Macaca fascicularis: one gene and its partner. The protein of the gene in region 1 binds, or shares a complex with, the protein of each later gene. Links are inferred from orthologs where the notes say so. Each region holds a gene or a part of one and is shown on either strand. Other genes may lie near its edges. The genes, in order: EDAR and EDA.

Region 1 (4,555 bases):
AAGATCAACCGCAGTACTGTTCTGTCCAAGAGACTCAACAGAATGATGCTGAATTAAAAGCAGAAATCCAAAGATCCTCACTCTTCAATGGTTTTGTCAACGATCTACAAACAAGAGATCTGCAGACAATCCCAGTGTTGTTCCAAGATAAGGAGAGATAGCTACAGAGATGCCAAGGACAGGGAAGCTGACTGTGCACTTGTCTTACCCTTGTCAGGAACATCTGTGCCAGCGATCAATCGAACTGAACAAAGTCCGGTGGCTCTGTGTCAGTGAAGTTCACTCATTGTCACTTGTAAGTCCCCTGTCCAGCCCTGCAGAGGCCACAAACCGCTGTAGACCCCTAACTTCAACCGTTTGAGTGTGTGCACGAGTCGTACAACAAAGACATATTCCAGTTTTGGGAAAATACATCTGAAGTTTTACATGATGTATTCTTATCTGAAATTCTGTGGCCAATGTAAAAGGGCTACGTAAGCAAAAATCATCACGCACCACACACTGTTAAATTGTTCACAGCAACTATGGGAAAAGAATTCAGTTTGCTTTCAAGGGTCCTTCGAAATCTGTTTCTAGGATGCCCAAAGCCGACGTTCTAAAATTTAAGAGATTCGAATTATAAAAATTGCACAAGGACATTTAAAAGAAATTAAGCTTTCTATTTGAAAGTGGATTCACGTGCACTTGTTCGTGATAATACAGAGATAATACAGATAATACAGGGAGATCCCATGTCCCCCATTACCCAGTGTACCCCAACGGTTTCATCTTGTAAAATTACAGGATGATAGCACCTGCACAGTCAGGTGTGGACAGCAATATAGTCAAGATAGAAGACAATTACAAGAGGGGTTTTAGAGACTCCGTTTGATAAAGCTCCATGATCTGCAAAAGCCAGCAGCCCTCTCAACAGAAGAATGAACCTGGGAGCTCTGCAGAATGTTGCGGCCAATTCTGGGCAATTCCCAGGCTGTGGGTATCACAGGACTGCCTGGCCTGGGGCCTGCAACCTGCAAAGAGGGGCCCTTCCATCTGTAGACTCTTCCTTCTCTTGGGAAGATGAGGCAGAGGGAGGAAAGTGTGAGCTAGCTGGAGAGACACCCACACACTCAGAAGCAGATGACCACAGACCGAGGAGCCAGTAGGATCAGCTCTGGCTGGAGCACGGGCCAATCCCGGACTCACTTCTTGGACTGTTTTCCTCAACCATCAGCTGAGGCAGCCGAGCCTGGCACTGTCCAGGACTATGGCCGCTGTGGCTGCCGAGCCTGAACTGTGGCCAGCGTCCCTGAAGCACTGAGTTTCTCATGTTAATGAATTCTACTTAATTTAAATTTAAACAGACACATATGGCTGTGCCTACCCCACTGGGCAGCACAGAAGATAGTCTTTCAGATCCCTCCCACCCCCTGAAATGTTCTAATTTAAAACATCCAGGCTTATATAGATGGGGCACGTTTTTTATTTACTCCTGGGGAAACTGAGACTCTGAGAGATCCAGGACTTTTCTGAGGTCCCACCGGTGAGCTGTGCTACAGCCAGAAGCCCCTGCCAGGTCATCTGGACTCCAGTTCAAATCTCAGTCTCTGCCACATGATGCCACGACTCAAAAGCAGTCCCACTAACAGGGAACTGTGACGAAAAGGGATCAGGTCATGGAGCTGTCCATCCTTCCCTAGACTGAAGAGGAACCCCAAAATATGAGAAATAAAAGTCCCTACTCTAAGAGGAAATCAGGTACTTTGGGGGGAAAAAAAACCTCAACAAAATCCAAAAACCCAACCAAACCACAGTCACCAGTGAGTGAAATGAGGATAATCTTTTAACAACAAAGGGACTGCTGTTGAAAGAACTAGCTTTCTCTGAGCAAATGGAGCAGCAAATAGCACTCCAATTCCAGAAAGAAAAAGTCCTGGAGGCGTGTCCACAGGAGAGCTTCCCAGGGCTGGAATCCACACTCTCCCTTACACCACACTCGGCGCTCACTAAGTGACAGCAGGCAGCAGCCGTTGGCTTGCTTCTACCCAGAGAGCTGAGGTTCCTAATCAGAAGACCTTCCAGAGAGCCACAGACCCCAAATGTTTGGAAATAATTCCACAAACCGTGTAGCATGACAAAACATACTTAACAACAGCACGTCTGGAATAAGGAACGATTCATTAATTCTAATTAAATCATATAAAGTTCAGCTTAACATTTAACATTTTTTTAATGATCTAAGACTCTCTTCAAAAGCACAACCTGCCTTTTACGTGAACATTCTAAAAACTTATTTTAATATTCCCCCGAACATGTTTTAATTATGCCACCCACTCAGAAAAGTATGTGTGTGCGTGAAGCACGTGTGTGTGTGTGCATGTGTGTGTGTGTGTGTGTGAAGGGTAGTGGTTTTTTTTTTTTTTTTTTGAGTGTCCGGAGTGTCATGATTACATCTTTTAATGATAATAAATGGGCCAGGCATGGTGACTCACGCCTGTGATCCCAGCACTTTGGGAGGCAGAGGCAGGCGGATCACGAGGTCAGGAGATCGAGACCATCCTGGCTAACATGGTGAAACCCTGCCTCTACTAAAAATACAAAAGCAAAATGAGCCGGGCATGGTGGCGGGCGCCTGTAGTCCCAGCTACTTGGGAGGCCGAGGCAGGAGAATGGCATGAACCTGGGAGGCCGAGATCACGCCACTGCACCCCAGCCTGGGAGACAGAGCGAGATTTTGTCTCAAAAAAAAAAGATAATAAATGACCCAGTTGTTCCCAGATGCAGGTCTTTTGGGGAGAGAAAGACATTACAGACAGGAAGATCCTTAGAAGGTTTTCACCCCATCAGGATTTTCTCCTCTTTGGCTCTACTGGCTTTGGGTCTTTTCCTCTTACCTTTGGGTGTCTGTGTGCCTCCTTCCTTCTCATTTGGGTGACTGCTGCAGTGGGAGAGCTGGGCACCTTCCCTAGGTGTGTAGTAATTGGGGTTTGATGTAGGAGAGGTGTGACTGCTCTGTGCATTGATGTGGTGGTGGGGGGCTGGGGTTTTAGCACATCACAGGAAATTCAAGATGGGCCTTTTGATGTGCAGCACCCTCCCCTCCCCTCCTGCATCATGTACTCTCCCTCCACCTTTCCCTTCTGTGCTCCCCCCTCTCCCCCCCAGGCAAAGATGTATTTCCTGAAAACTGGAAAAACCAGGTACTATCAACCTCAAATCAGTGCCAATTAAATTCAGTTATAAAATTTGGGCCTTGTCCCTCATCTCTGAGTGACACCTTCCCTTTTACAACTGGGGCTGTTAATACCACAATTAAAACATTCAGCATCACCATATCCTTGGATCTAAAGCAGTTTATAGCCTTGAACTTCTGTAAAGAAAGTCATTAACATATCAAGGTGTTTTGATAAGACCAACTTTGAAGCAAGCCTCTCCTCCTGGTCTTTTATCTCCTCTGCCATCTTATGTATCAAATTTCAAGAATGCAAAGACCTATCTGCCTAGCATGTTGCTGCCTACTCAAGTTCCGTCTTTGTTATTTCTGTTATCAATATTTTAAAGTCAGATGACCTTAGCAATTAACACATGAACTTTGGGTGAAGGGTTTAGATTTACTATGCAGAGACTGGCATTAAGTCCCTTCAAAGCTTTAAGAAATGCAGTGGTATTGGAGGCCAGTCACAGGCGGAGCTCCTGTGGAGTGACTCCTCACAGGGCACAGGAAGTCCTATGCCTCATGTCACGGGACCCAGTGCAGTTATGCAGGGTTAGAGCCTGTGGTCTCAGCCATACCCGGTGCTCTTTCAACCTGAAGACTGAGGAAATGGTCAACTTCTGTCTGAACAGAAGTCATCAGAGAGTTCTGTGGTGCCCAAGTGCATTCAAATAGTAAGGAAACCCTACTGACTTCAGGAGCACTACTGTGTTTGGCTATAGGGTTTCTGAGAAAATGAGCTTCAGCTGTGTTGGCTCTGCCTGTGGAGAAGGGCTTCCCAAGCTACTGAGCCCACATGCAGGGCTCCCTGCTGGCAGAGGCCACGTGCCAGCCCTGGAAGGGAGCACAGTGGAGGGAAGATTGACTGCCTGGGGACCACTATCCTTGGCTAAACTGCCGAGTAGGACAAACAACTCCACAAACATGGTGAAGCGAAAGGAAGACAGAGCAGGACCCTCTTTACTGGAGTCTGTCCCAAAGACCAGCCAATGTGTGTGTGTAGTTTTGTTTTTTTTTTTGAGATGGAGTCTCACTCTGTTGCCCAGGCTGGAGTGCAGTGGTGCAATCTTGGCTCACTGAAACCTTTGCTCCCCAGGTTCAAGCAATTCTCCTGCCCCAGCCTCCCAAGTAGCTGGGATTATAGGCACCCGCCACCATGCCAAGCTAATTTTTCTATTTTTAGTAGAGACGGAGTTTTGCCATGTTGGCCAGGCTGGTTTTGAACTCCTGACCTCAACTGATCCACCTGCCTTGGCCTCCCAAAGTGCTGGGATTACAGGCATGAGCCACTGCACCCGGCCAAATTATGTTTTTGAGATCAAGTCCCTGGGATAATCAGTTGTAGGTTCATATTTCACAGGG
Region 2 (4,338 bases), on another chromosome or scaffold:
TTAATTTAATACCCAATCAACTTTTTAAAAAACTTATTTTTGTATACTAAAACTAATATACAAGATAAGATACACAAGTTGAATAACTTAAACTTAAGTTGATTTTGGGCTAAAATTCCTTCAAAGTATACTCCAAATCTGAAAGTGAAGTTCAGGAAGAATAAGGAATACATGGTTAAACTTACTGTGGTCAAAATACAGGTAGAGTAGAACAAAATGATGCAGATCTGAGTGCTCTACTTTGCAAAAGTTCTAATATGGAGCTCCATCTTGCTCCCTCGCAAAAGGTCCCAGGAGGTAGTTGAGGGAATGAGCACTGAACTAGGAGTTAAGAGAGCAACTATCATCCCAGTTTTGACTCTAGTTATGTGACCTTGGGCAAGTCACTTTCCCATTAGGGCCTATGTTTCCCAAGGGAATCAAACAAAATGGACTCATATAAGCCCTTCATAACTCTAGGAAACTGATTCCAACTGATGTCAACAAATGTAAAGAGCTAGTATCCTTGCTTCTATTGCTCAAAAATATTAAAACAGAAAGAATAAAGGACAGAAGGTAGGAAGCTGTGTTTAAACCTAGAGAGAACTATTTTAGTGTCACACAAAGGGAGGTAACTAAATGCCATTACACACCTGTAAGAGTTTCATGCCATCACAGAAGCCCTAGAGTACAGCTGTTCTGCTAATCCCCAGTCTATAAAAGCGGCTCTGTCCATCCTGAATGCCAAAAAGTCTTGGCCAACATTTGACTAAAGAAGTTTAATTTTTTCATCTTTTCACAGAATATCAATGTTCAGCTGCTAAATATTTCTACTGGGCATTGGGGTGTGGCGGGAGTGGCAGTAGATAAATAAAAGGAGTCAGAATCCTAGTTAATTATCGTTTAGCTACAATGTTTAAAGTTTCAAGTATGAGAAGCATGTCTGCTGATTCTCTTCTTTGATAAGCTGTTATATAAATTGGAGTGTGCTAGTAAGACATTTTAAGGCTCAAGGCAACTTTACAACGGACATCTTTTTTGTTGTTGTTGTTTTTTGTTTTTTTTTTTTTAAAGTATCAGTCCTAACATTACACTATGATCATGAATGTGATGTCTCTATCAAGTGTACCACTTTAGATGGGAGGTCAAAGTGGCACAAATAATGTTTACAGAGTTGTGACAATGACTCTGGATGTGGAAGTAAATATAGAAGGCTTGGGTCCCTCACCTCAAGGAACTTATTTGTACAACTTGCTCTCTTCCCTAAGAGGTACAATTTTACTATTATTCTTTAGCCACCTCAAAAGGATCCTTGGATGCTTCTCCTAAGTTTCACATATGGCAACGAAGACAATATTTACATTAAGTGAACTAAATTTACTTGAATAAAGAGCTAGAAAGAGTGGAAAACAAACGCCAAAGCTAATAGTTTGCTAATAAGGGCACAAACACCATAAAGGCTGCAAAAACAAACAAAACAAAACTGCTCTTGGGGGACTAGTCCTGAGTAATTATTCCATTGGCAGATTCCTGTTCTCAAGCTAGCAGTAGCAAAAGCGCTTCCCACCCACCCTTCCCACCGCACACCTACCCCGCTTAAGAATCAGAACCGGCATGCAAAGGGTGAGTTTTATTTCCATAGATTTTTTAAATTGCTGTTCAGAAGTTGTCTAGCAAGACGGCATATTTCTACCAGAATTCCTCAGGGGCGCTGATCCTCACTAGAACGCTGAGGACAATCAGTCTCAAATTGCAGGTAAGTGTGAACAAGCCCACGTTCTGGTCAGCGCACAAGGACCCGCGCTGAAAATGCGGTTAAAAGTTGTTTCAACAGGCGGGCGTGGAGCAGTTATTACAGCTGTTTACAGCTCCAACTCCAAAGGGGAGCCTGCTGGTTCTGGCATCAGCTCTAGACACGAAAAAACAAGCACCGCGGGCAGAGAACCTCATCACGAGCAGAAGGGCCAAGCCGTTAGTCGGCCGGGGGGCAGCGCAGGCACCTCCTCGACGGGAGCTTCGCCAACTTTTCTCCAGGCAGCCCGCAGCCAGGGGCCGCGGGCGCGCGCTAGACTTTCCAAGTCAAGGGGTCCCCAGGGAGTCCAGATTGGGCCAGGGACCGAAGACAACCTGCCCTGGACAACCTCTCCCCTGCTCGCCTGGTCCCTCCCTGGTCCTGCCCTCTAAATTGGCTCGAGGTGGCAGAGTGCCCCCAGGCCCCTGTGGCGGAGGGCCCTCGCCCTACCCGCGAGGGGAGGGGGCCGCCGCCGCCCCTACTAGGTGACTCACCTGGTGCCCGTCCTGGGAGTCAGAGGGGAGTGCAGCTTCTCCCGGTTCCAACGGCTGCTGCTGAGGTGACGGCTGCCCAAGGTGAGTGGTGATGGGGCTGTCAGGGTCGAGGCCACCGAGGCTGCTTAGGGTGCCAGAGGTGCCAGGGGTGCCCGAGCCGCCAAGGCGGGACTCGGCTCCCCGTTCCCGCCGCAACTCCGAGCGCAACTCTAGGTAGCAGCACAACGTCAGCAGGTGGAGGGCCAGCGAGAGGCCAAAGAAACCCAGGAAGAGCAGGCAACTGTTCCCTTCTCCCGCCCGGGCAGGGGCCCCGCGACACCCGCAGCCCTGGCTCCCTCGCTCCCGTGGCGCTGCCGCAGGCAGGAGTTCCCTGCGCTCCACCTCCGGGTAGCCCATGGCCTCCGGAGACACCCACTCTCTTGAGGCCCGGGAGCCGCTGCGTCTGCCTCAGCCGTTCACGACCTCTGACAGGCGGCTACTGTCCTGCCATCGGCTGGGGGCTGCAGGGACCCGTTCCTGCGCGACGGTGGCTGGGCGGGACGGAGCAGGGAGCAGCCGCATGTGCAGCTCCACTCCGAGGGGTGGGAAAGGGAGGAGGAGGGGCGGGAGAGAGGGACGGCTCGGCCCGCCGAGGGAATGAAGGAGGAGGTCCCGGCCGACCCCGCCCCATCCCTCAAGCGGCTGCCGGGACGCCCAACCACGGGGCCGCCAAGCCTCGGCGCCCCGCCCCGTGCCGTTCCAACCGGGCGTCCAGCCGCGGGGCGGGGCCTGGGGGCGTGAGGGTTCGCCTCTGTCTGGCCGCCCCACCCAGCTCTTCCCGCTTGCCCCGTCCCAGTTGGTGACTGGCGCCGTCGTTCATCCCTGGGCTCCGCCCCAGTTTAACCCTATATCGCCAGTACGGGGAGGAAAAGAGGGGGAGGCTACGAATTTGGGAACCTTGGAAAGAAAGTAGAGCAAAGAAAAGGAGGCAGAAACTAGCATTAATAGAAATGTTCGCAATTAACTGCAGTTGTTAATAACATCATCCAGTACTTATCTGTTGCTTCCAATCTTCAAAGCGTTTAACAGACGTTAAACTAATTAAAACAGCTCCGGGTTTGGAATGAAACCATGCCTGCTGTGTTTGCAATTCAATGGCTCGCCCGAAGAAAAGGAGACCCAGGAGCCTGGGAACTATGGGAATGGGTGGGACTCAAGCAGCCTCACTCCTGGAGTGACTCTGAAGGCTCAATCTAAGTAACAGAGAAGCCGACCCATGCCAAGCGGAACTGAAATGATGTTGTCCCATGAAGGGTAAAACAGTCTCCTAGGATTTCTTAATTAATTCAACAAATATCTATTGATACAATGCAGAAAATGCTGTATGAGAGCATCCACAGCCAGAATAGATTTCTTCCACTGCAGCAGTTTTGATTGGAGAACATACGCCTTCAGTGAGTAGATAGGGAAACCGAGGGCCAGAATGAAGTGGATTTTTACAAGGGTGGTCCACAGAATGGTCAGACACTACTGGCATCTTTATTTACAGGCAACTGTTCTGGCCTCTCCACCCCTCCCATCCTTCTCCTGGAGTACTCCCTGGGGGAAGTTCAACAAGTCAGCCAAATGTTCCAGATGTATACTGCTGCAACTGCAGCATCTTCAACAGCTGCACCAATCAGAAACGGGTTCAGAGAAAGAAAAAAAAAAAGTGGCAAATGGCAGAACAATAGACCCTGAAATGAAGGATGGAAAGGATTAGTTAAATCAAGAGTCACAATTGACAAGAGTTACTAGTCTGAGATTATAGAAAGTGAAATGACTACAGCAGGGGAAGCATGTACACTTCATAGTCACTACGCACTCTCATTCCATGTTATTAATTGAGTAATGAATAATTAACAATTTCATTGACTTGCAGCGGGCATCTTGAGTGTCATCATGGAGGCTCAGCAATGCCAGGAGCACTTATGTGTAGGCCTAAGACCTAGGCTGGTGGAAGAGAAGAAAAACATAGATAGAGATAGAAAAGAAGACAAAAGAAGAGAAATAAAACACAAAACCAAAAGCATCTGCTGGCAGGTCAGTCCAGAG

The links.
Region 2: the proteins of EDAR (region 1) and EDA are in contact, whole or in part, in a crystal structure (PDB 7X9G), measured with the Homo sapiens proteins. The link is inferred for Macaca fascicularis from reciprocal best matches to the Homo sapiens genes EDAR and EDA. Residues at the interface, in NP_071731.1 of Homo sapiens: Glu55, Pro56, Tyr57, Leu58, Lys78, Ile86, Arg88, Arg89, His90, Asp92, Glu94, Gly95, Phe97, Val134; in NP_001390.1 of Homo sapiens: Gln256, Ser258, Ala259, Gln261, Asp265, Asp273, Arg289, Tyr310, Tyr311, Lys340, Thr341, Tyr343, Ser370.

The regions. Positions count from the first base shown.
Region 1 is NC_088387.1:16,470,737-16,475,291, forward strand, and holds the start of EDAR (tumor necrosis factor receptor superfamily member EDAR), read right to left. Parts: upstream 2,920-4,555; 5' UTR 2,907-2,919; coding exon 2,874-2,906; intron 1-2,873. UniProt on the Homo sapiens protein: Receptor for EDA isoform A1, but not for EDA isoform A2. Mediates the activation of NF-kappa-B and JNK. May promote caspase-independent cell death.
Region 2 is NC_088395.1:76,350,950-76,355,287, reverse strand, and holds the start of EDA (ectodysplasin-A), read right to left. Parts: upstream 2,856-4,338; 5' UTR 2,662-2,855; coding exon 2,266-2,661; intron 1-2,265. UniProt on the Homo sapiens protein: Cytokine which is involved in epithelial-mesenchymal signaling during morphogenesis of ectodermal organs. Functions as a ligand activating the DEATH-domain containing receptors EDAR and EDA2R. May also play a role in cell adhesion.